4 linked regions of the Saccharomyces cerevisiae S288C genome follow. Changing the gene in region 1 together with any one later gene gives a genetic interaction. Each region holds a gene or a part of one and is shown in the gene's direction. Other genes may lie near its edges. The genes, in order: MAD1, CHL1, SWC5 and GIM5.

Evidence for each region.
Region 2: mutations in MAD1 (region 1) and CHL1 are lethal when combined (synthetic lethality), as found in Saccharomyces cerevisiae (7 studies listed by BioGRID, with this or other methods).
Region 3: mutations in MAD1 (region 1) and SWC5 together harm fitness more than expected from each alone (negative genetic interaction), as found in Saccharomyces cerevisiae (5 studies listed by BioGRID, with this or other methods).
Region 4: mutations in MAD1 (region 1) and GIM5 together harm fitness more than expected from each alone (negative genetic interaction), as found in Saccharomyces cerevisiae (7 studies listed by BioGRID, with this or other methods).

What each region holds. Positions count from the first base shown.
Region 1 is NC_001139.9:344,688-351,445, forward strand, and holds MAD1 (coiled-coil domain-containing protein MAD1), read left to right. Parts: upstream 1-2,431; coding exon 2,432-4,681; downstream 4,682-6,758. Other genes in the region: MF(ALPHA)2 (Mf(Alpha)2p), read right to left, coding at 104-466; YGL088W (uncharacterized protein), read left to right, coding at 1,149-1,514; E2 ubiquitin-conjugating protein MMS2, read right to left, coding at 1,719-2,121, 2,207-2,217; LCL3 (Lcl3p), read left to right, coding at 4,929-5,753; GUP1 (O-acyltransferase), read right to left, coding at 5,929-6,758. UniProt on the Saccharomyces cerevisiae protein: Central component of the spindle assembly checkpoint. Thought to recruit MAD2 to unattached kinetochores. During checkpoint activity, MAD2 is relayed from the MAD1-MAD2 complex to the mitotic checkpoint complex (MCC).
Region 2 is NC_001148.4:535,366-542,470, forward strand, and holds CHL1 (DNA helicase), read left to right. Parts: upstream 1-4,019; coding exon 4,020-6,605; downstream 6,606-7,105. Other genes in the region: RET3 (coatomer subunit zeta), read left to right, coding at 1-222; RQC2 (Rqc2p), read right to left, coding at 455-3,571; transcription factor TFIIIC subunit TFC8, read right to left, coding at 6,717-7,105.
Region 3 is NC_001134.8:680,311-685,781, reverse strand, and holds SWC5 (Swc5p), read left to right. Parts: upstream 1-2,691; coding exon 2,692-3,603; downstream 3,604-5,471. Other genes in the region: ARC40 (Arc40p), read left to right, coding at 1-344; DAD3 (Dad3p), read right to left, coding at 521-805; telomere maintenance protein PBP2, read right to left, coding at 1,113-2,354; COQ21 (Coq21p), read right to left, coding at 5,220-5,420. UniProt on the Saccharomyces cerevisiae protein: Component of the SWR1 complex which mediates the ATP-dependent exchange of histone H2A for the H2A variant HZT1 leading to transcriptional regulation of selected genes by chromatin remodeling. Involved in chromosome stability.
Region 4 is NC_001145.3:80,532-85,763, forward strand, and holds GIM5 (Gim5p), read left to right. Parts: upstream 1-1,743; coding exon 1,744-1,759; intron 1,760-1,842; coding exon 1,843-2,318; downstream 2,319-5,232. Other genes in the region: YML096W (putative asparagine synthase), read left to right, coding at 1-955; DNA repair protein RAD10, read right to left, coding at 950-1,582; UTP14 (Utp14p), read left to right, coding at 2,559-5,232.

The sequences.
Region 1 (6,758 bases):
TCGAAAACTCAACTACTCAGATTGAAAAGAAAATAAATAAAACTAGGTGTTGTATGAACGTGAAAGAAATCGAGAGGGTTTAGAAGTAGTTTAGGGTCATTTTTCAGTACATTGGTTGGCCTGGCTTGAGTTGCAACCAGTGCCAAGCATCAGCGTTGGCCTCTCTCTTGTACATTGGTTGGCCTGGTCTCAAATTTAACCAGTGCCAAGCGTCGGCAACAGCCTCTCTTTTCGCCAAAGTGGTGTTTTGCTCTTTTTCAGCCGCCTCAGCAATAGTGGTGTTGATAAACAATAGCCCACTGGCGGTAGCGTTACTGAATGGTAAAAAAGCTATGTCATGATCACCTCCGAAATCCAAGTATCCAATAATGGCCTCGGCTGGCACCTGAGCGATATCTTCATCGGAACTAGCAGTGACAGAAACGGCCGCTAAAATAAAAGTGAGAAAGGTAGAAATGAATTTCATTTTCTCCAATATGTGAATTTACTGGAATTTGATGCAGGTGATGGTAGTAATTATCCATTATATAGAATATAAAAACAGATATAGGAAGGACACCTCAAACTACACCAGAATCAAGGACAGCTTTTATACATATAAGCCCTCGTCTCTGCGCTGTAAAGACACCAAGTTTCACTAGGTCCACGGCGACTCTGTACTGAAACAACTGAATATTTGAAACAGTAACGATGAATAGTTTGGCTCGATACCTTGAAAACAATCACTACAGGCGTCGCCCAGATGCGCACATCGTTGCTGGCATTGATGTACCAATGAAGAAATATAAGTGACAAACTTTATGAAAAGATAGAAAGAGGTTTACAAGATAAGAGAAAAATTATGCTGTGAAGATTAGTAATCGAAGTAACTGCTTATTCATTCAGTGCATGTTTTTCTAGGAATGCGTTTGATATGGGACATACATCTTACTATGCGACATTACCTTTTAGGGACATCAATGAGCAAGTGAACACTAGCAAATTAGGAAAACAACTTTAGCACGCCCAACTGCGTACTGAAACGCAGAAAACTATAGAGTTTCCCGAAACGGTGACAGCTGAGTTCGCTCAAATAAGAACAACACCATGTCTTGAAGCTTCTTCTATAGCGTAGAGTAAGTAGTGCCTTGTAGCCCTACCGTTTTACAATGCATGAGGTTACCCGCACTTATTATTTTTTTCTCTTTTTTTTTCTTAGCTATAAAAGGCAGATCAATGCAGCATTCATTGCTTTATTTGACTTTCCTTTACTATTTATTTACTTTCCATTTCTTATTTTAGTGTTATTTTATAACAGTAACGCAAATTTAACAGCCATTCGTAACACGTACAGTATCTCGTCGAGGTTGAACCCCTCCGGGGCGTTCTTGACCCATGAAGAATGTGGATTGGTGTTGCAATATATTTATTATTGGCTTGGACTGGAGAACAAATTTATCGATCTTGGGTGCAACAGTCTTTCTGTCGTCTGTTTTTTAGCAGATCTAAGGGTTTACCTTCGTGTGCCCGGATGAGGACCGTTGCAAGGATTGATAATACAACTATATACATCATTATCGTAGTGAATTGCACGAGTAACTTCTCGGCATGGGGTGAGTAAATTCATATTATGAAAGTAATTAAACTTACTACCTAAATAAGAGGATATCTATGTCTTATTGCTTGTATATATGAGTGGCTTGGAATGCTGCAAATACTGTTTAGGAAAAAGTAGATAACTAAAAGGTTTCTCCTTCCTTCGGTTGACGCAATTTCTTGTTCGCTGGGGTTGCCATTTCCTTTCTAAGATCAAGTAATAAAGTTTCCATGGTGTAGGCTCTTTTCCAGTCACGTAAGGTGTGGAAGTCAGTTTGGACCTCCCCCGTAGTTGGATTGACGCATGGTAGATTTATCTTGGAAATGAAAGTGACCTTTGGGGGAGAATCTGGATAGTTTGGGCCACAATCTATAGAAAGGGAATAGATTCTGTTTTCATGATTACTATGAGGGGGCCCTAAAATAGTGCCGTTCCATTTGGTCATGGTAATATCGTCGCTATCAGCTAAACCATAACTACATGATTCTGGACCAAACCCTTTTTCACCCTTTTCTAATTCTTCTAACAACCTAAAATTTCTTGGTCTGATTTACAATAGGACAGTGAGGGTACATTTCAAGAATTTGTTAGTATATGTTGAAATCCCTTTCAAAACTTATAATAACATACACTTTTGACATTTTTGTGTAAACGCTGCTTTCTTCTACGTTGCATATACAGAATAAGAATTTCACCACGACATCGAAATGTAATGAGCAGAGATTGTGTAGGAAGTTGATCTTATTTTAGTCTCTTATTTATCGCTAAAGGAGCAATGAAAATTGATAGCGTGTTACCCTAGGAATAATTCCTAACAATTTTTTCCATCTTAAAATCGAGAGGTAATAGTAAATAATGGATGTGAGAGCGGCATTGCAATGTTTCTTCAGTGCATTGAGTGGACGATTCACTGGAAAAAAATTGGGACTAGAGATCTATTCTATCCAGTACAAAATGAGCAATAGTGGTGGGTCCTCTCCTTTCTTGGAAAGCCCTGGAGGTTCGCCCGACGTAGGCAGTACAAATGGACAAAGTAATCGTCAGATTCAGGCGTTACAATTCAAGCTCAATACTCTACAAAATGAGTATGAGATTGAAAAATTGCAGCTACAAAAACAGACGAATATCTTAGAAAAGAAATATAAGGCCACGATTGACGAATTAGAGAAAGCATTGAATGATACAAAATATCTTTATGAAAGCAATGATAAATTGGAGCAAGAGTTAAAGAGTTTGAAAGAAAGATCAGCTAATTCGATGAATGATAAAGACAAATGCATAGAGGAATTGCGAACAACCCTCCAAAACAAAGATTTAGAAATGGAGACTTTAAGGCAGCAGTATGATTCGAAGTTATCAAAGGTCACTAACCAATGTGACCATTTCAAGTTGGAAGCAGAGAGCTCTCATTCGCTACTGATGAAATATGAGAAAGAAATAAAGAGGCAAAGTGTGGATATCAAAGATTTGCAGCATCAAGTGATGGAAAAGGATGATGAATTATCTTCGGTAAAAGCATCTAAGATGATAAACTCACATCCAAACTACTCCACCGAAGAGTTCAACGAGCTCACTGAAATGAACAAAATGATCCAAGACCAAGTTCAGTATACTAAAGAATTGGAACTAGCGAACATGCAACAAGCCAATGAATTGAAAAAACTTAAACAATCCCAGGACACTTCTACTTTTTGGAAATTAGAAAATGAAAAACTACAAAACAAATTAAGTCAATTACACGTACTCGAAAGTCAATATGAAAATCTTCAATTGGAAAACATAGATCTAAAATCGAAATTAACCAAATGGGAAATTTATAATGATAGTGACGATGATGATGATAACAATGTTAACAACAATGATAATAATAATAATAATAAAAATGATAATAATAATGATAATAATAATGATACAAGTAATAACAACAATATTAATAATAACAACAGAACCAAAAATAACATAAGAAATAACCCTGAAGAGATTATCCGGGACTGGAAACTTACCAAAAAGGAATGTTTAATTTTGACAGATATGAATGATAAGTTAAGATTGGACAATAACAATTTAAAGCTACTGAATGATGAAATGGCTTTAGAGAGAAACCAAATACTAGATTTGAACAAGAATTATGAAAACAACATAGTAAATTTGAAAAGATTAAATCACGAGTTAGAACAACAGAAGAGTTTATCTTTCGAAGAATGTCGATTACTGCGCGAACAATTAGATGGCCTATATTCCGCACAAAATAATGCTTTACTAGAGGTCGAAAATAGTGAAACACATGCGTCAAACAAGAACGTAAACGAAGATATGAATAATTTGATCGATACTTATAAAAATAAGACAGAAGATTTAACAAACGAACTAAAGAAGCTAAACGATCAGTTATTATCAAATTCCAATGATGTAGAAACACAAAGAAAAAAGAGGAAGTTGACAAGTGACCAAATTGGTTTAAATTATTCACAGAGGCTCAACGAATTGCAACTGGAAAATGTAAGTGTCTCGAGGGAGTTGAGTAAAGCACAAACTACAATTCAGCTACTACAAGAAAAATTAGAAAAGTTAACTAAACTAAAGGAGAAAAAAATACGTATACTGCAATTACGTGACGGCCCCTTCATAAAAGATCAATTTATCAAGAAAAACAAATTACTTCTTCTAGAAAAGGAAAATGCAGATTTACTTAACGAATTGAAAAAGAATAATCCAGCAGTGGAAACAGTACCCATTTCTGTTTATGATTCACTAAATTTCGAGTTGAAACAGTTCGAACAGGAAGTTTTTAAGTCAAATAAAAGATTTTCCAGACTAAAGCAAGTTTTCAATAATAAATCTTTGGAGTTTATTGACGTTGTAAACTCATTATTAGGTTTTAAATTGGAATTTCAACAAGATAGTCGTGTGAAAATATTTTCCTGTTTCAAACCTGAAAAATATTTGATTGCTGATCTAAATGAAAACACTTTGAAATCTAACCTTGATGCAGATATAGAAGGATGGGATGATCTCATGAATCTATGGGTGGAAGATAGAGGTCAACTTCCGTGCTTTTTGGCAACAATAACATTGCGTCTGTGGGAACAGCGACAAGCCAAATAAGTGTATATACATTTCTAATAGATAATAGTAATCGGTTTTATAATATGATAAACTCCTATCCGCTGACATAATTGTTGGTCACAAAATTCTTTTATCTTTCTTCATCATTGACCTTTTATGATTCCTTTGGTATGCAAAAAAAAAAAAATTGTGTTGAAGAATAAAAACAAATTACAGAATAAGTCACACATGATATAAAAAGAAGCCCAGTTTTTCATAGCTATTAAGGGGGCATAAATGCACTTATATGAGGGAAGGTGATTCTAATTCAAAAAAATCTGCGGATGTTGCTGTCCTCTCCATCATCCTTACGGGTTCGACCTTAACATTGATCTACACATATAAAAGGTATTTAACTCAATTCAAAAGAACAAATGATATACCGCGAAGAATATTTCGTAAACACTGGCTTTATGGTAAAGTCACGTCTGTAGGTGACGGGGACAACTTTCATTTCTTTCACATGCCAGGTGGTATAAGAGGTGGATGGGGATGGTTACGACCCGTCCCACAAATGATCAAGAATGATTCTACGGCAGAAAAGCTTGTTGGAGATAGCAGAAATATGAGGTTTTTCAATTTCAATTGGATTACGCATGGGAGGTCCACCAAAAGTAAAATACAAAAAGCTAAAAGCCAGTTCTTGAAGCTAAATGTACCTTACAAAAATAGGAAAAACCTGCCAACTATTCCTATAAGATTATGTGGAATCGATGCCCCAGAAAGAGCACATTTCGGTAACCCAGCTCAACCGTTTGGTAATGAAGCTTTAATTTGGTTACAAAACCGAATTTTGGGAAAGAAAGTATGGGTCAAGCCTTTATCTATAGATCAGTACAACCGTTGTGTAGCTCGAGTGTCATACTGGGACTGGTTTGGTGGGTGGAAAGACTTAAGCTTAGAAATGCTCAAGGATGGATTAGCGGTTGTTTATGAGGGTAAAGTAAACACAGAATTTGATGATAGAGAAGATAAGTATCGATATTATGAATTTTTGGCAAGATCTAGAAAAAAGGGACTGTGGATCCAGAATAAATTTGAAACGCCTGGTGAATATAAAAAACGTATTTGAGTTTTCGAGAGGATTTTTATCCATCATACTGCAGATTTTCATATTATATGTTCATTAGCTTTTCACGCTTCCTCTCGATATTTTTTTATTTATTTTCGGTTTCATTTTTGTACTAGTAGATAAAAATACATACATGATAGCAGTGTTATACAATTGATATTCGTAAATTTGGCATTCAGCATTTTAGGTAAATTCCGTGCCTCTTTTCTTCTTCTCTGATTTCAAACATTATTTGTACTGCGATGAATAAACTAACGCTTGCCAAAATTACAAATTTGAAACCAGATACGGTACAGAACATATCGCTTAGTAATTTTTTAGTACCGTCAGAGCCCAAGCAGAATCCAAAAAGATTAGCGATCATCATAACCCATATGTTGAAAACAGCACCGACAGCGCAAACGTGTCTGTACCAGACTGCGTCGGTATAATGAGAGAAAATTTGGGTAGCAAAAATTTCTGGTAAGAGGAACAAAACTATTAGCCAACCCCATAATAATAACTTTAGTTCGATGTCATGCCATATAGCTACGAAGGAAAAGACTGCTAGTGATGTCAAAACTCTATTTTTTGAACCACCTAGAGGAATATATATGTAACGGACAACCCACTTATTGTAGCTTCTATGCCAAGCTCTCCAGAATGCTAGTGAACTGTAATTGTTATCAACACACCTGATCATATTTTCAGGTGTATCGATTCCGTCTAGCAAAGCCCACAGCCTAAACAGCCTCCACGGAATCAGTAGTTTTAGCCAAATAATATTCAAATTAAATAAGCCAATCATGGAAATCTGGAAAGGTGTGTCATTTTCCCACGCTTTGGTTTTTGAGATTGCCACAACGTGGAGAAAGTGTAAAATGAACTCCATAGATAAGAGAGCAATAACGAATCTCACCGCATAGTAAAAAATGAATTTGAAATTTATTGATGGCAAGGTATGTTTCGATTGGTAAACATAATCATTGAATGTTATAATGGGGCCGGCAATGAAAAGTGGCGTGT
Region 2 (7,105 bases), on another chromosome or scaffold:
AAAAAAAACATCCAAGAAAACTATGATATGGTTTTATTAGCTATTGATGAAACCATTGATAATGGTGTTATCCTCGAAACTGACTCTAACACTATTGCATCCAGAGTTTCTAAACCACCTACGAACGAACCCCAAATGGCATTAGATTTGGATAAGGGTTTCTTAGGCGCGTGGGGTTTCGCAAAGAGCAAGTTTCAAGAAAGGTTACAGCAAGGCTTATGATCACAAGGCAAAGCGGATAGAAGAAAATTTTAGCTGGTCTTATATGGTATATATGCAGTGTCTTACTTTCTCCCTTCCATATATATGTATCTACTTATATATATAAGTATATGTTGCTCATTTAGAAATGATTGTCACCTCATGCTAATCATTTTATTCTTCTCGTTGGTCTGTGATGAAAAATAATGAAAAAATTATAATTGCTGTCTATTTTCTTTTCATCTCATATGATTTAGCGTTTTTTTTTGCCCTTCTTCGAAGAGTTACCACCGTTCTTGGTGGATTTCTGCCCAGCGATTGTTACTTTTAACTTGTCGACACAGAGCAGAAGAACCAAGTCCTGTTCCTTCAAGCCTTTAATCATTTCATGTTCTTGGGGCCAATCCATTTCGTTGTCAGTTGAAGAACCGTCTAGTGGTCTACTCTTGAAATAATGTAAAATTTCAGTTAAAGTCTTAGTTTTCTTCGCACTTCCCGGTTGTATTTTGACTTTGTATTTATATTTCAAAAGCGCAGGCCAGGGGGCAAATACTGGTATAATATCATCAACCACATCGCCCTTATCGAGAGATGGTTTTAATTCGGACTTGTGTTTATCATAGTTCACTCTTGCTTTCTCTTTTTTGGTGAATTTTAAAGCCTGTAGTCTTCTTTGTTTCTCGCGTTTATTCTTTCTATCTTCTCTAACTTCTCGCTTCATTATTTCTTCTTTCTTCCTTTGTTGCTGCTTTTCGATACCCTTCAAAGTACCCAAGGCCTCCAAACGCAAGAGACGTTCAGTTTCATCCTGGTCGGCGTATTTCTTTTGAATTTTCTTCAATTTTCCTCTTTTACCACGGACGTTACTGTTTATGTTTTCGATTAAAGATATCGGAACACCTGGTTCATCAAGGATACGCTGCGTACTGCTATTGTCATTTTTGGCTTTAGCATTTCCAGAATCAGAGTCGGTATCGGATGATATGGTGCAATGCTTTTCGATGTCTTTTTCAAGATTATCGTGTTCAAAACTGTTGTTTTTCGTGCTATCGTTTGAATCTCCACCCTTCTCTAACCCATTGACCTCGTTACTATCGTCTTCATCTTGCTGTTGCTCTTCTTCTTTTTCTTCTTCTTCTTTTTCTTCTTCTTCTTCTTCTTCTTCTTCTTCTTCTTCTTCTTCTTCTTCCTCTTCTTCTTCTTCTTCTTCTTCGTCATCATCACCATTATCCTCATTTCCACTGGTTTTCACTTTCCATAAAAATCCAAAACCCATCACAAGTTGAGCAGGGGGTAAATGGTTTTGATCATTCTCATTTTTCAACCGAAAGGCACCTTCTGGCAGAATGGAGTTATCAGAGCCATCGAATTTACTAACATTCTTTGCAAAGCACCACCATGGAGAAGAAGATATCTTCTTCGACCAAGCCTCGCTTGAGGACATGCATAGTATACCCGCTTGCATCAAAGTGTTCGGTGGAACTTCTGTTTTTTCTGGATTTTTGATCCATACATGAGAGTTAAAACTATTGGACATATAAATATCATCATCTTCAATATATTTTGAATAGATTTGATCTGTCTCAGCCGGACTTTTACCCATCATGACCAAAAATCCTTCACTTGAAATAAACCAACTATATTTTTCAAAAAAGTAAGGAGTGCGGATCTTTTTTAAGACACTGTGAGAATCTTTTAGCTTTTTTTTCAATTGTTGATCAATTTTGACTTCAATATTCTTCATAGCCTTGCCGACATTCTTTTCGACTTTTTTCTGCTTTTGAGCACTTGTTTTTTTGATATTGAAATATTCAGTGGCATTGGCATAAGCTGATAAACCAAGGTCAATTGTAACGTTTATCTTTTCATTAGATTTTCTTTTCATACTTTTTGTACTCCTCTCCTTCGAACTCTCCATGTCTTCTGAGTCTGAGTCACTAGAACTATCAGTAGTATTGCCTTCTGATTCATTGTCCTCGTCTGAAGAAGTGTTGAGTTCCTTGCTAGAGAGATCAAGCTTGACGCTAATTTTGTTCTGTTTCAAGTTCAAAGGCAAGTTCAAAAGCTGAGCAATTCTGTTGCCTTTTTTTTGTTCACTTTTAATTAGTTTCTCAATAGTGTTCCAGTCCATTTGTTGATCGATTAGACCCTGAACAGCAAGCTTAACTTCCTCTATTAAGGGTGCATTTTCAATTATGAGATGGCCTTTCCTTTCATTTAGTTCTTGGACGTCTAATAAAGCTTGTATTTTTCTATCATTTTCGGCACGAGCATCATCGATTTTCTTTTGCGCTTGCGATTCCTGATTTTGTATACGTAGAGCATACTTAGAGGATTCTATTGTTGAGAAAAATTTGTCTAGCGTCCTATTGTAAGGACCTTCAACTTCAATGATACAAGAAGAGTCAGTGTCTCCCCCATTTATATATGGCTTAAAGGGATGGAATGTATCATAAATAAATTCCAAATCGGCAGTATCTTTTTCAGAGATATAATTTTCATTTCTTTTGGCCAAAATGTAACCCTTTCTATCGGTGGTAGTTAAAAGTTGATTATATTCTAACTGAGTACTGTTTAGCAATTCGGCGAGTGAGTCTGTTTCCTCCAAAAGATTTAAACAAGACTCTGAAGGGTCGATATTGAATACCTTAAGGTTCTTTGATAATAAATCTGAAGACAAATGAGGGACTTTCGAAAGCAGCAGTTTATGGATGGAAGGTACTTTCACTTTTTTTTTTTTAGCGCCCTCCTTCCCTTGAATGTTAAGTTGCTTAATAACAGTAATGTCTGATTCATACTTGGCTTGAACTGCTTTTATCCACTCGTTGACTAGTTCAGAGGTGTATTCTGCCTTTCTGTTTTTTTCTATGGATTCATCAGCAGACTCGTTATTTGTGGTAAAAAGTGATTCGTCAAACATTTCATAAATTTGTCCGACCTTATTTTCATGCTCTAGAACGACTCTTTGCAAAGCCATAATTCTTCTGTTCTCATCTAGAAGAATGACATTCCCTGCACTGAAAAATTCCAAAACTAAATAGAAGTGGCCATCAGCAAATTGTAGAACAAGAATTCTATCCTGGTCTACTTGCTTTAAAGCTGTTAACCGTTTAGCTTTAAGATGCTTCCTTAGTTTGACAACAAAGCCGGAAGGAGTTGGAGGTATTGGCCTACTAAATTCAGTTAAGTAAATTCTTAAGCCACAATCGACAACAACATTGAGTTTAGAATCTGGTTTATTAAATTTCAGCAAAAATTGTTTTGAGGAATCGGCAATGTTATATATATTACTCAATCGGTAGCCTTCCAAATCCTGTTTCAGCTCTCTAGCCAACAGCAGTAAATCTAGGGCACTAATTCTTTGCTTCATCGCTATTAATCTCTTGCCTGCCTGACTTCTTAGACCGGATAATAAGTAGCAACTTTCTTTTCAATTTGCCATCGGATTCTTTTAAAACTATTTTTCAGGCGAAATTTCATTTTTCTATCCTTCCGCAGCATGAATGAAAAGTTCAAACGCGTCCAAATATACAATAGATATAGTGCATTAGTTAATGTCCGGAAGAGAAGTCGCAATTGTTGAAAAGGTTAAAACTCAGGCTATTTATTGAAAATCCAATTTTAATCGTAACCACAGAGTTGAGGTAGAGGCTCATTTGTTACCTGACAGTTGATGACATTATCACTGACATATTTAAATTCATCATTAGTGTAATCAGCACATGCTAAGTTGAGGGCACTACTGCAACTTCAGTTTGTTTCCTTAAAACCCAAAAGAGTAGAAAACCAGGCTAAAAACAGTCACACTAGTCCAAAAAATGGACAAAAAGGAATATTCGGAGACTTTCTATCATCCTTATAAGCCCTATGATATTCAGGTACAGTTAATGGAAACTGTATACAGAGTGCTATCCGAAGGGAAGAAAATAGCTATCCTGGAAAGCCCCACTGGGACAGGCAAGACGCTGTCCTTAATCTGTGCCACGATGACTTGGTTGAGAATGAATAAAGCAGATATTTTCACCCGCATGGAAACTAACATCAAAACGAATGAAGATGATAGTGAAAACCTAAGCGATGACGAGCCAGACTGGGTTATTGACACTTATCGAAAGTCTGTTTTACAAGAAAAGGTGGATTTGCTAAATGATTATGAGAAGCATTTAAACGAAATTAACACGACCAGTTGTAAGCAGTTGAAAACTATGTGTGATTTAGATAAAGAACATGGAAGATATAAATCAGTTGATCCATTAAGAAAGAAACGCAAAGGCGCTAGGCACCTTGATGTATCACTTGAAGAACAAGATTTTATTCCGCGCCCGTACGAATCAGATTCTGAAAACAATGATACCTCCAAAAGCACAAGAGGAGGAAGAATATCTGATAAAGATTACAAATTGAGTGAACTAAATTCACAAATAATAACACTTTTAGACAAAATTGATGGGAAGGTTTCGAGAGATCCAAACAATGGCGATCGCTTTGACGTTACAAATCAAAATCCAGTGAAAATATATTATGCATCCAGAACTTATTCACAATTAGGTCAATTTACTTCTCAGTTAAGATTACCCTCGTTCCCATCATCCTTTAGGGATAAGGTCCCAGATGAAAAGGTGAAGTACTTACCACTTGCTTCGAAAAAGCAGCTTTGTATTAATCCAAAAGTGATGAAGTGGAAAACATTGGAAGCTATTAATGACGCATGTGCGGACCTTAGACATAGTAAAGAGGGATGTATCTTTTATCAAAATACAAACGAATGGCGTCATTGTCCTGATACGTTAGCTCTCAGAGATATGATTTTTTCAGAAATTCAAGATATTGAAGATTTAGTTCCCCTGGGAAAATCTTTGGGAATTTGTCCCTATTACGCCTCGAGGGAGGCACTTCCTATTGCGGAGGTAGTGACTTTGCCATATCAATACTTACTTTCTGAGTCCACCCGTTCAAGTCTTCAAATAAACCTTGAAAATTCTATAGTAATTATTGATGAGGCTCATAATTTGATAGAAACAATAAATTCTATATATTCCTCTCAGATCTCGTTGGAGGACTTAAAGAATTGCCATAAGGGGATAGTAACTTATTTCAACAAATTTAAGTCCAGGCTCAATCCCGGTAACAGAGTAAATCTATTAAAGCTCAATTCACTTTTGATGACTCTGATTCAATTTATAGTTAAAAATTTCAAGAAGATAGGACAAGAAATAGATCCTAACGATATGTTCACAGGAAGTAACATCGATACCCTAAACATTCATAAACTATTGAGATATATAAAAGTCTCCAAAATTGCTTACAAAATTGACACGTATAACCAGGCACTAAAAGAGGAAGAATCGTCAAAAAATGAAAATCCAATAAAAGAAACGCATAAAAAATCAGTTTCTTCTCAGCCATTACTTTTCAAGGTTTCTCAATTCCTATATTGTTTGACAAATTTGACGTCAGAAGGACAATTTTTTTTTGAGAAAAATTATTCAATAAAGTACATGCTTCTAGAACCAAGTAAACCTTTTGAGTCAATACTAAATCAAGCAAAATGTGTAGTCCTTGCAGGTGGGACAATGGAACCCATGTCAGAGTTTTTGTCGAATTTGCTACCTGAAGTTCCTTCTGAAGACATTACGACCTTGTCGTGCAATCATGTTATACCGAAAGAGAATTTGCAAACTTATATCACAAACCAGCCTGAGCTTGAGTTCACATTCGAAAAAAGAATGTCTCCCTCCCTTGTAAATAATCATCTTTTTCAATTTTTTGTTGATCTGAGCAAAGCAGTTCCTAAAAAGGGTGGTATTGTAGCTTTTTTTCCAAGCTATCAGTATTTGGCGCATGTAATTCAGTGCTGGAAACAGAATGACAGGTTTGCTACATTAAATAACGTGAGGAAAATATTCTATGAAGCAAAAGACGGCGATGATATTCTATCTGGATATTCTGATTCGGTAGCAGAGGGAAGGGGGTCTCTTTTGCTGGCTATTGTTGGGGGAAAATTATCAGAGGGAATAAATTTTCAAGATGATTTATGTAGGGCTGTGGTGATGGTGGGCCTGCCGTTCCCAAATATTTTTAGTGGAGAACTAATAGTTAAAAGGAAGCATTTGGCCGCTAAAATAATGAAGTCAGGCGGAACGGAAGAGGAAGCTTCACGAGCAACAAAGGAGTTTATGGAGAATATTTGTATGAAAGCTGTCAACCAAAGTGTTGGACGTGCTATACGGCATGCAAATGATTACGCAAACATTTACTTGCTCGATGTGCGATATAATAGGCCCAATTTCCGGAAAAAATTGTCACGTTGGGTGCAAGATTCTATCAATTCCGAACATACAACACATCAGGTCATTTCTTCAACACGGAAGTTTTTTTCAATGCGCAGCCTGAATTCACGCTAAAAGGAATACGTTTACGTGTATACTGTGATTACTACTATATATTATAGTAAACTAAACTGATATTTATGACTACTTTTTATATCTGCAAGTAATTCTTTGTCTCTTGTATCCTTACATAACTTCCAGCGTTGTTCCACAATATACGCTTATTTCATTAAATCTTTCTAATAGACCCCTTGTAAACCAACCATAATCATTCAAATCATCTCGTTTTATGTCTATTACCCGTTGTTTGCTCACGGGACATATCTTTACATGCGTTGTAAGTATTGGAAGCAAAGTGACACCACACCTCTTCCACGTGTTATTCGTGGTGGATGTTACAGTTTCAGGGTCAGCCGTGAAGCTTTCTAAATTGAACGTTTCCTCGAGAAAGCTGTTCTTCATCAATAACGTGCCGTTGTAAATTGGCGCTTCTCTTTTAAGTATTGCCGCTATAGATAATACGCAAGCTAAATCAAAACTATTCGTTAATTCGGATTTTTTGTTTATAGCGTATT
Region 3 (5,471 bases), on another chromosome or scaffold:
GTGGAGGATACTCTTGTCATCCGGTATTGTTCAGCGAAGCCTCTGAAGGCTGGAAATTTGCGAAGAATCTAGACAAATCAGACAATAACAAGTCTTCTGCCTTAACTGCATCTGGTAATACAGACGAGCTGAGTGGTAATAATGATGAAAGTTCAACTTTCGGTATTTCCGCATTGAGAAAGTTTAAAGAATTAGACTTGAAAGGTAAAGTTAGCACAGATGTCCAAGAAAGTGCACATGAAAACGCCATTGTGGAATTAAGACCTTTTGCGGAATCCAACGGCCAAATCACACAAGTCTCTTCCTGTGGGTTAGACGGTAAGATCGTCATTTATACAATTTAAATATACATACGTATATATATATATTGTTATGTGTATTCCCTACCTCATAATACACCTTGAGTTTGTATTGTTTTTTTCTTCACTTGGCATATACAGACTATATTATTACAACTCACAGCACAATGTAGTGTACCGTAAAAAATAAAGCATCAGAATCAATTTCTTGCACCAAACCATTATTTAGAATTGCTACCCAAAGACTCCTGTTCTTGCTTTCTTTGCAAGATAAGCGAGTACACGCTACCTTTTAGCAGTGTCCCAACTAAACCAATTTTGACCTCTATGTCCCTCATCTCCTGTAGTATCTCATCTGGCGATACAGTTTCTTGCTGTGAATGCTGTTGCCTGTGTTGCGAATAGTTTAGTTCTTTTATAGTTTCATCCAGAGCTTTTAGATCTAAAGAAAGCTGTTTGTATTTGTCCAATACTTCTTGCTGTAAAGGTGAAAGATTGTGTTCCATACTGTGACTACAACGCCGTGTATGTTTCACAGCGACTTTGACTGGCTACTGTAAGCTCTTCTTTTGTATTCTTTGGAATAGTTTATTTACATGTAATTACTGTAATAGCGCGCAGCCGAGCTAAAAAAAAAAAAAATACAAAGCTTTTGATCAATTTGTTACAAAGAGAAATAATTCCGCGTACGTATTTCTATTGATATTTATATATCTACATTCATTCAATTTATTACCTTTTCTTTTATTTTTTTTGCCTTTTGTAGTTTCTGTATTTTTATTTTCTATGTGTTTTTATTGACTAGCAGTATATTTAGAGGGGCGACCTTCTTTTACGTTCAGCATTTGATCTATCAATTTCAATTTTATTGCTAATCAACATAATAGCAGCTTGGGACGCCATGAACGTACCTCTTATGGTAAGTCTTCTCTCCGAAGAGCCTTCTACAGGATCTTGTATAATAATTGAACAACCTGTGGATTCCTTGACCGAATTTATGTGCTTGCCATCTTTGCCAATGACATTTCCGACAAATTTCTCATCTATGAATATCTCTTGTTGTACAAAGTTCATTAATAAATGGTTGCCGGGTGCCGGACTGATAACAGGGCCGTCTAAGACTGTCACATTAGGGATAACGAAGTTCGGTTGAAAGGCCGTTGCGTTTGCAACGCTAGCAGTAGTATACTGCGGTGTGGCCATACTCAACAAAGTAGATGATATTGGTAAATTTTTGTTGGGTTTGTATGAAAGTAGTTTATCGCTTGGATGATATTGGTGGTTTCTTTGATGGAAAATGGTGTTCGGTTGGCTATGGTCTATTAATACTGAGTTAAACTGAGTTGGCTGATAGTATATGGACCTTTTCACATTTTTCTGCGGAGATTCCATCTGAAAGTTTAGCAATGTTTGACTAATGTAGAAAGTAGCAATATGGATAGCATCCGGAACCCCGTTAATGGTTAAAATTCTATCGTTAGAAAGCAGCAATTGATTCGGGGACGCGAATAATTTTGCTGCACTCAAATCCTCAATTTCTCTTAACCGAGACCCACGTTTGCCAATTATACATCCCATAAGATGATGAGGGATCAATAGGTTGATAGAAATCTCAATGTCTTCCCCGTTATCTTCGTTACCATGTTCTTCAAGCAGCGCTCTTACTATCATGCCGTATGCCTTGGCTACATCATCGCAAGTACCCCTCACGTAAACAATTCTTTCAGGAACACCTCTGATATTATTTGATATGTTTATTCTAGCAGAGGTTTCGGATTTTATTCTAGATATAGTGGCGCCCTTGTGTCCTACTATCAGTGAAGCGTGTTTGACTAAGCACAGCATTCGTAAATGTACATCAGAGGGAACATTGTCGGGGGAATCGTGGTCGTTGTCAGAGTGGCTGTCTGCATCCTTCAGGGCCACGCGTTTGATTTCTGCTTCCAGTTGTTCCTCGCTGGTGTCTTCACCCTTTTTCCTTTTGAGCGTGTTGGGAGAAACGAGTACAGTAGTTGGTGTAGTAGTGATTGATGGTTTTGTAGTCTCTGTGGACATAATTGAGCTAAAGAGTATTACAGAAAGATTATTTAATGCCGCGCTGGACGATTAAAATTGTTAGAGTGGATGTGGCTATGGATAAGTTTGAATATGAAAAAGGTTACTTATGCGGCTAACGACTAGGTGCGTATTTATCGTTTGACGAGTATGTACGTGTTTTCTTTTGTATCATGATATTTCGTGTAAGTACCATATCGGGGAAAGACAAAAAAAAGTGAATTAAAGAGCGAAGTTTAAAGATGATGAATAGGATTAATCGACAAGTAAGAAAAAAGACGAAAAGGCGTAAACTGGAATAATATTGTTTCAAGAAAGAAAACCCACTAGCCTATAAATGCCAGAAGTAGAGACAAAGATTATACCAAACGAAAAGGAGGACGAGGACGAGGACGGCTACATAGAAGAGGAGGACGAGGACTTCCAGCCTGAAAAAGATAAATTAGGTGGTGGTAGCGACGATAGTGATGCCAGCGATGGCGGTGACGACTATGATGACGGTGTGAACAGAGATAAGGGTAGAAATAAAGTGGACTATTCGCGTATAGAGAGCGAGAGCGGCGGACTGATCAAGACTAGAAGAGCTCGGCAAGCTGAGGAAGAATATGCGAAAACACATAAGTATGAATCGTTAACTGTTGAATCGATCCCTGCAAAAGTAAACAGCATCTGGGAGGAGCTACAGGAAGCTAGTAAGAACCGTCTTTTGAGCAGTTCAGGGAAAGTCGGCTCTGTTCTCGACGGTTCCAAGGAGGCTAGGTCGACAACGGCCGCGCAACAGGAGGACAAAATCCTCATCGAAAGAAACTACAAGTTTGCTGGTGAAACTGTCCATGAGAAAAAATGGGTTTCACGCAGCAGTGCGGAGGGTCAAGAATATCTAAACAGTTTGAAATTTAAGCAGCAGGCGCCTGCTGCTCCTGTTCAACTGGAAAAAGCAGTTAGGACCAAGTCCAATGAAAGCCGGCAACACTTGCGACGGCCACTGAAAAGGCCTCCATTGTTGGAGCAGATCATTTCTGGCGGGCTACGACCCAAGCTAACGACATTAGAAAAATCTCAGCTGGACTGGGCTAGTTATGTAGACCGTGCTGGACTTAACGACGAATTGGTGCTGCACAACAAGGATGGGTTCTTGGCCCGGCAAGAATTTCTGCAGCGGGTCGGGTCTGCAGAGGACGAGAGATACAAAGAATTGCGCCGGCAACAACTTGCTCAGCAGTTGCAGCAGGATAGCGAAGCTTCATAGACAAATATTACATGTATTAAATAACATGCTTTTCTGCTCAAATTTTTTTAACCGCCGAGGCCTGCACACTTTCACTACGTGTATAACGATGCTGCAGACAAAGTAATGGGGTGTATGGGTGTGGGTGGCAAAAAAAACCTAGCAACGCTCTATGTTTCTTTTCTTTTTTCTTTCTTTTTTTTTTTTTGCCGTTTCCGATGGGCCACTCGGTGAAAACATATAAAAAGGGCTCTACATTCATTTTTTCATCGATGAGTACTTTACTTGTTATCAGATTTATTCATTTTGTTTCTACTTGTTTTTTTTTTAAATCCCCACGAATCTCTTTGCCTTTTGGCTTAGATCAAGTGTAGTATCTGTTCTTTTCAGTGTAACAACTGAAATGACCTCAATGAGGCTCATTACCTTTTAATTTGTTACAATACACATTTTTTGGCACCCAAAATAATAAAATGGACGGGAAGAGACTTTTTAAGCAAGTTGTTTTCCGCTAATGTCAGGTCTCACTACTTTTTGCTGCTATTTTTCTTCGCTCATGGTTTCTTCATAAGGCGTTTTTATGATGGTTTTTCGAAATTGGTTTTTGAGACGACGGTTGCTCAAGGTTATTGTTTTTGTTTTCTTCTGGTTGTTTTCTATTTTCTTTTTTTTAGCTTTCTGTTTCTCCCTTAGTTTGGCTTTTTGCTTCATACTCTTCCCTGTCTTTCCGAGCCGTTTATGTCCAACGCGGGATTTGGTTTTTCTTTATCGATGGGAAGAAATGGTGCTATAGTAGGTTGGGAGATAATATTTATGGTATGGGGTGCTAGTGCGGATGGGGCGCTCTTATTGTTGATTTCTTCGCTCGTCTTCTTTTTCTGGTGGCGCTGCAAGAGGAAGTTTTTCGACTTTGTTATGATTTTTGGTTTGCAAGGAAAGGTGTCTTACGATTCTTTTTTTGATGTAATAGGATAAGCTTGCTTATCCCCCAAGTATCGGCCAAAGTTGTTGATTTTCCTTTTGAAGTGTCCTCGGTTTGAGGGGGTGTAGGGTGGGGTTGGTCTACAATAAGAGTGTTCCATTGTTAACGTGCTGGCGTCTTTTACTATATTTTTTTTCCCAGTTTATTTTGTGCTTATTTTCTCATTGAGGAGAAGGAGCTCTTCTCGCAGGATATAAATGGAGGTTTGCTAAAGGGGAGGAGATGTGTTTGTGAGAATACTGCTGAGAGAGTTCTGGAAGAGAAAAAAAGGAGGCAATGGAAGGCGTTTGCTGGGAAAAGAGAAGAGCCATGACTGCATCTGTTGTTTCAAGGCCAGTTTTATTAACCGCCTATGTCATAGAGGCGTTTTTTTTGGAGGGATTTGAAGAATGCCGGCGGCATCAAGAAACGGACTTGATGGTTGACGCCTGTTTTTAAAGTTAGAGACGTCGCGACCCTCGCACTTGTGGAGTCGTTCTTGACTTTTACTTTGGTCGCTTGATGTTTCTCTCGTCTTCCCGTTCGCTCTTTTATTTTTTTATTTTTTTTTTCCTTTGACTTCGCATGAATGAGTTCATTCATGAAGCGAAAGGAGAGATTCTATATACCACGCAACCAAATATGTAAGTATATAAAATATATGTATGTGTGTGCACTAATTGGCGGCATACTCTTTCTTGACCCGTTGTGATAGGGCCTTAGCTGCTTCCCATTGCCTGTCCCGAGTCCAGCGACTCAAGACGTTGGACGTGCGCACGTACTCACACATGGCCGAATTGGCCCTTACGAATGAGCTCTTGGCTACCCCTCTTGCTGCACTCGCCACACACCATAACTGGTATAATTCGTTTCTCATGCTAGTCTCTTTTTTTTTTTTTACTTGTTTCCTTTTCCTTTGTTGCTTATC
Region 4 (5,232 bases), on another chromosome or scaffold:
TCCATACGAAGTGACATCAGAGATAGATCTGAATTTCACATCATTGTCAGAGGTGTCTAAAAATTTATATGCTGTGCTACGTGATTCTGTAAAAAAAAGGGTAGAGTCCATACATCCCAGGCATATTGAAAACTCTCCTATTGCGGTACTATTCTCAGGAGGAATTGATTGTTCAGTAATAGTAGCGTTGATCTGCGAGGTGTTGCAAGAAAATGATTATAAATGTGGAAAACCAGTTATAGAGCTTCTAAATGTATCCTTCGAAAACCCCAGGACTGGTCTTTTTCCCAGTGATACACCTGATAGAAAACTGTCCATTAACAGTGCAAAGACTTTACAAAACTTATATCCTAATGTTGATATCAAACTGGTTGAAGTTGACGTTCCTTATGATGAGTATTTAAAATGGAAGCCATTTGTTATCAATTTAATGTATCCTAAACAGACTGAAATGGACTTGTCTATAGCCATTGCTTTTTTTTTTGCGTCGAGAGGTAGAGGTTTCTTAACTTCTCTGAATGGGGAAAGAACGCCATATCAGCGCCATGGGATAGTGTTATTCAGCGGACTGGGAGCAGACGAACTCTACGGTGGATATCACAAGTTTGCCAACAAACCACCCCATGAACTTGTGGAGGAACTTACAAGGCAAATAAACAACATTTATGATCGCAACCTGAATCGTGATGATAAAGTGATAGCTCATAATGGCGTGGAGGTGAGATACCCATTTTTAGATGAATATGTTATAAAGTTATCTACAGCAGAAATTCCCATTAATTTCAAGGTTAACAAATTAATCCTTCGAAAAGTTGCCTCGCAGTATTTGAAGTTGGATGGAATATCATCAGAACCAAAAAGGGCCATTCAATTCGGTGCTAAAAGCGCTAAAATGACAAAGGATGGTAATAAGCATGGAACAGATTTATTAAAAGAAAATAGGAATTGTTCATAAATTCAAATATTCAATATATTTTGCAGCTTGTTCAAAATTAAATGCTAAAAGTAGAGTAAATCCGTTGAACATACATAGTTTTGTAATGTCATTAAGGGTATCTTCAGAGTTGTTATCGTCTACTATGAATATCAGTATATTATTTTCGTTTCTAGATAAGGGCTGCATTCTCCTAGAGATATAATCGACATATAATTTGTGATAAGTCAAAGTTAAGAACAGTACACTTCTTCCACGAACTAGATAGTCGTAGTATATCATATTAATTCCTGTTGAAGATACATATCTCCAATTGGTGCTCTTTAAGTGGTTCAGGAGTGGATTTTCTTTTTGGGTAGTGTTCACTAGTACAGTTTTTCCCGGTCGAGTACTCCTGAAGGGTCTCTTTCGATTATAGTCATCTGTAGCCTTTGAGTCGGTCCATTCTTCCGGTTTTTGCTGATTGAAGGCGTTTATGACCTGGTTTGAATTTATGCGTCTTGATGTTTGCGGTTCCTGCTGCTGGAGTTTTGATGCATCTATTTCTAACGATTGAGATCCAGTAGTATCTGCACCACTCTTTTCCTTTCTCAATTTGGCCACACCAGCCAATATACTTTCAAATGAAGTAGGATCAGTATTGTTCATCTTCTAGGATAACCAACTTTGTTTATGCCCTTTTTTGTGTTGCGTGGCTGTCTCATAAGTTACAATTTTCTTTTTTGTTCTAACGATTTTAAATAGAAAAGTGTCTTAGATGAAAATCTTGCTGTGACCCAAACAAGAAAGAGCACTGTAAAAATCAAGCCATGTCCTCTCAAAAAAGTATGTAAATGAATAGCTCCTTCGTTGTTGCCACCGTACAGACACTTTACTAACTTTTAAGTTACTACATGTTCGAAACTTAGTCGATTTAACTAAACTAAATCCCGAGCAGCTGAATGCTGTAAAACAGCAATTCGACCAAGAATTGCAGCATTTCACACAGTCCTTGCAAGCATTAACCATGGCTAAGGGCAAGTTCACAGAATGTATTGATGATATTAAAACAGTCTCCCAAGCAGGAAATGAAGGGCAAAAACTACTGGTTCCAGCATCTGCATCATTATACATCCCAGGTAAGATTGTAGACAATAAGAAATTCATGGTCGACATTGGTACAGGATATTACGTTGAAAAGAGCGCTGAAGCAGCAATCGCATTTTACCAAAAGAAAGTAGACAAGCTTAACAAAGAATCTGTACAGATCCAAGATATTATTAAGGAAAAGACCCAGTATTCCTTGTCCATCGAGGCCCAAATAAGACAAGCCGCTATTAGACAGCATGAAGCGATGAGTAAACAACAACAGCAGCAACAAAAAAAGGAGTCGTCTACAGCCTAGGTAACTCTTTTGCTTTTCCTACGATTTTTCATATCTCATTTGTAGCCATCTGATATACGTTTATCTATATGCAACGTAATTTTTTATTTATCGTCACTTTGTAGTTTTCCGGAAAAGGCCATTGAAAATTTTTCAAATTCCTATGGCGATGAGCTGAAAAAATTCATTAAGTGTGCATTCAATAACATCTTGTTATATACTAATAAAAGAGGCTTCAAGACAAAATAAGCTAACTTAAATATGGCAAAAAAGAAATCTAAGAGCAGATCCAAGAGTTCTAGAAGAGTTTTGGATGCTTTGCAACTTGCTGAGAGAGAAATTAATGGTGAATTCGATAACTCCAGCGACAATGACAAAAGACATGATGCTCGTCGTAATGGTACAGTTGTCAACTTGTTAAAAAGGTCAAAAGGTGACACTAACAGTGATGAAGATGATATCGATTCTGAGTCGTTTGAAGATGAGGAGTTGAACTCTGATGAAGCGTTGGGCTCTGATGATGACTATGACATTTTGAATTCCAAATTCTCACAAACTATTCGTGACAAGAAGGAGAATGCAAACTACCAAGAAGAAGAGGATGAAGGTGGGTATACTTCCATTGATGAAGAAGATTTGATGCCACTGTCTCAAGTGTGGGACATGGATGAGAAAACCGCACAGAGTAACGGCAATGATGACGAAGACGCTTCTCCACAATTAAAATTGCAAGATACAGATATAAGTTCCGAATCAAGCAGTTCCGAAGAAAGCGAATCGGAATCTGAAGATGATGAAGAGGAAGAGGATCCCTTCGACGAAATATCTGAAGATGAAGAAGACATCGAATTGAATACAATTACCTCAAAACTGATTGATGAAACCAAAAGTAAAGCTCCAAAGAGACTAGATACGTATGGCTCAGGTGAGGCCAATGAGTATGTTTTGCCCTCTGCAAATGCAGCTAGTGGAGCTTCTGGGAAATTGAGTTTGACGGATATGATGAACGTTATTGATGACAGGCAAGTTATTGAAAACGCTAACTTGCTTAAGGGTAAGTCGTCGACGTATGAAGTTCCGCTACCACAACGTATCCAACAAAGACACGATCGTAAGGCAGCATACGAGATCTCTAGGCAAGAAGTGAGTAAGTGGAATGATATCGTCCAACAGAACAGAAGGGCTGATCATTTAATCTTCCCGCTGAACAAACCCACCGAACATAACCACGCCTCGGCTTTCACTAGAACTCAAGATGTTCCTCAAACAGAATTACAGGAGAAGGTAGATCAAGTTCTTCAAGAGAGTAATTTAGCGAACCCAGAAAAAGACTCAAAGTTTGAAGAGTTGAGCACTGCTAAAATGACACCCGAGGAGATGAGAAAGAGGACTACCGAAATGAGATTGATGAGAGAATTGATGTTTAGAGAAGAAAGAAAAGCTAGGAGGTTGAAGAAAATAAAATCTAAGACATATCGTAAGATCAAGAAAAAGGAATTGATGAAAAATAGAGAGCTAGCTGCTGTTTCCAGCGACGAAGACAACGAAGATCATGATATCGCTAGGGCTAAAGAAAGAATGACTCTAAAACACAAGACAAATTCCAAGTGGGCTAAAGATATGATCAAACATGGTATGACAAATGACGCTGAAACCAGAGAAGAAATGGAAGAGATGCTAAGACAAGGTGAACGTTTAAAGGCAAAAATGTTGGATAGAAATTCTGATGATGAAGAGGATGGTCGTGTGCAAACATTAAGTGATGTTGAAAATGAGGAGAAAGAGAATATAGACTCAGAAGCATTGAAGAGTAAATTGGGTAAAACTGGCGTAATGAATATGGCCTTTATGAAGAATGGTGAAGCTAGAGAAAGAGAGGCGAACAAAGAAACCTTACGTCAATTAAGGGCCGTTGAAAATGGTGATGATATTAAGCTCTTCGAAAGTGACGAGGAAGAGACGAATGGAGAGAATATTCAAATAAATAAGGGCAGAAGAATATATACCCCAGGTTCCTTGGAATCCAACAAAGACATGAATGAACTAAATGACCACACTAGAAAAGAGAATAAAGTTGACGAATCAAGAAGTTTGGAAAACCGACTAAGGGCCAAGAATAGTGGGCAATCGAAAAATGCAAGAACTAACGCAGAAGGCGCAATAATTGTGGAGGAGGAAAGTGATGGTGAACCTCTTCAAGACGGTCAGAATAATCAACAGGATGAAGAAGCAAAAGATGTTAATCCTTGGTTAGCTAATGAAAGTGATGAAGAACACACTGTCAAGAAACAATCTTCCAAAGTTAACGTTATTGACAAAGACAGTTCTAAAAATGTTAAGGCCATGAACAAAATGGAGAAAGCTGAGCTAAAGCAAAAGAAAAAGAAGAAAGGTAAGTCAAACGATGATGAAGATCTCTTGTTGACGGCGGATGATTCTACACGGCTAAAGATAGTCGATCCATATGGTGGTTCTGATGACGAACAAGGGGATAATGTATTCATGTTCAAGCAGCAAGACGTCATTGCGGAAGCCTTTGCTGGCGACGACGTGGTAGCAGAATTTCAGGAGGAAAAGAAACGTGTCATTGATGATGAAGATGATAAAGAAGTTGATACCACTTTACCTGGTTGGGGTGAATGGGCCGGTGCAGGTTCTAAACCAAAAAATAAGAAGCGTAAATTCATCAAAAAGGTTAAGGGTGTTGTTAATAAAGACAAAAGAAGAGATAAGAATCTACAAAATGTGATCATAAATGAAAAAGTTAATAAGAAAAACTTGAAATACCAATCTTCAGCGGTACCATTCCCATTCGAAAATAGAGAACAATATGAAAGATCTTTACGTATGCCGATAGGTCAAGAATGGACATCCAGAGCATCTCATCAAGAGCTTATCAAACCGAGAATCATGACTAAGCCAGGCCAAGTTATTG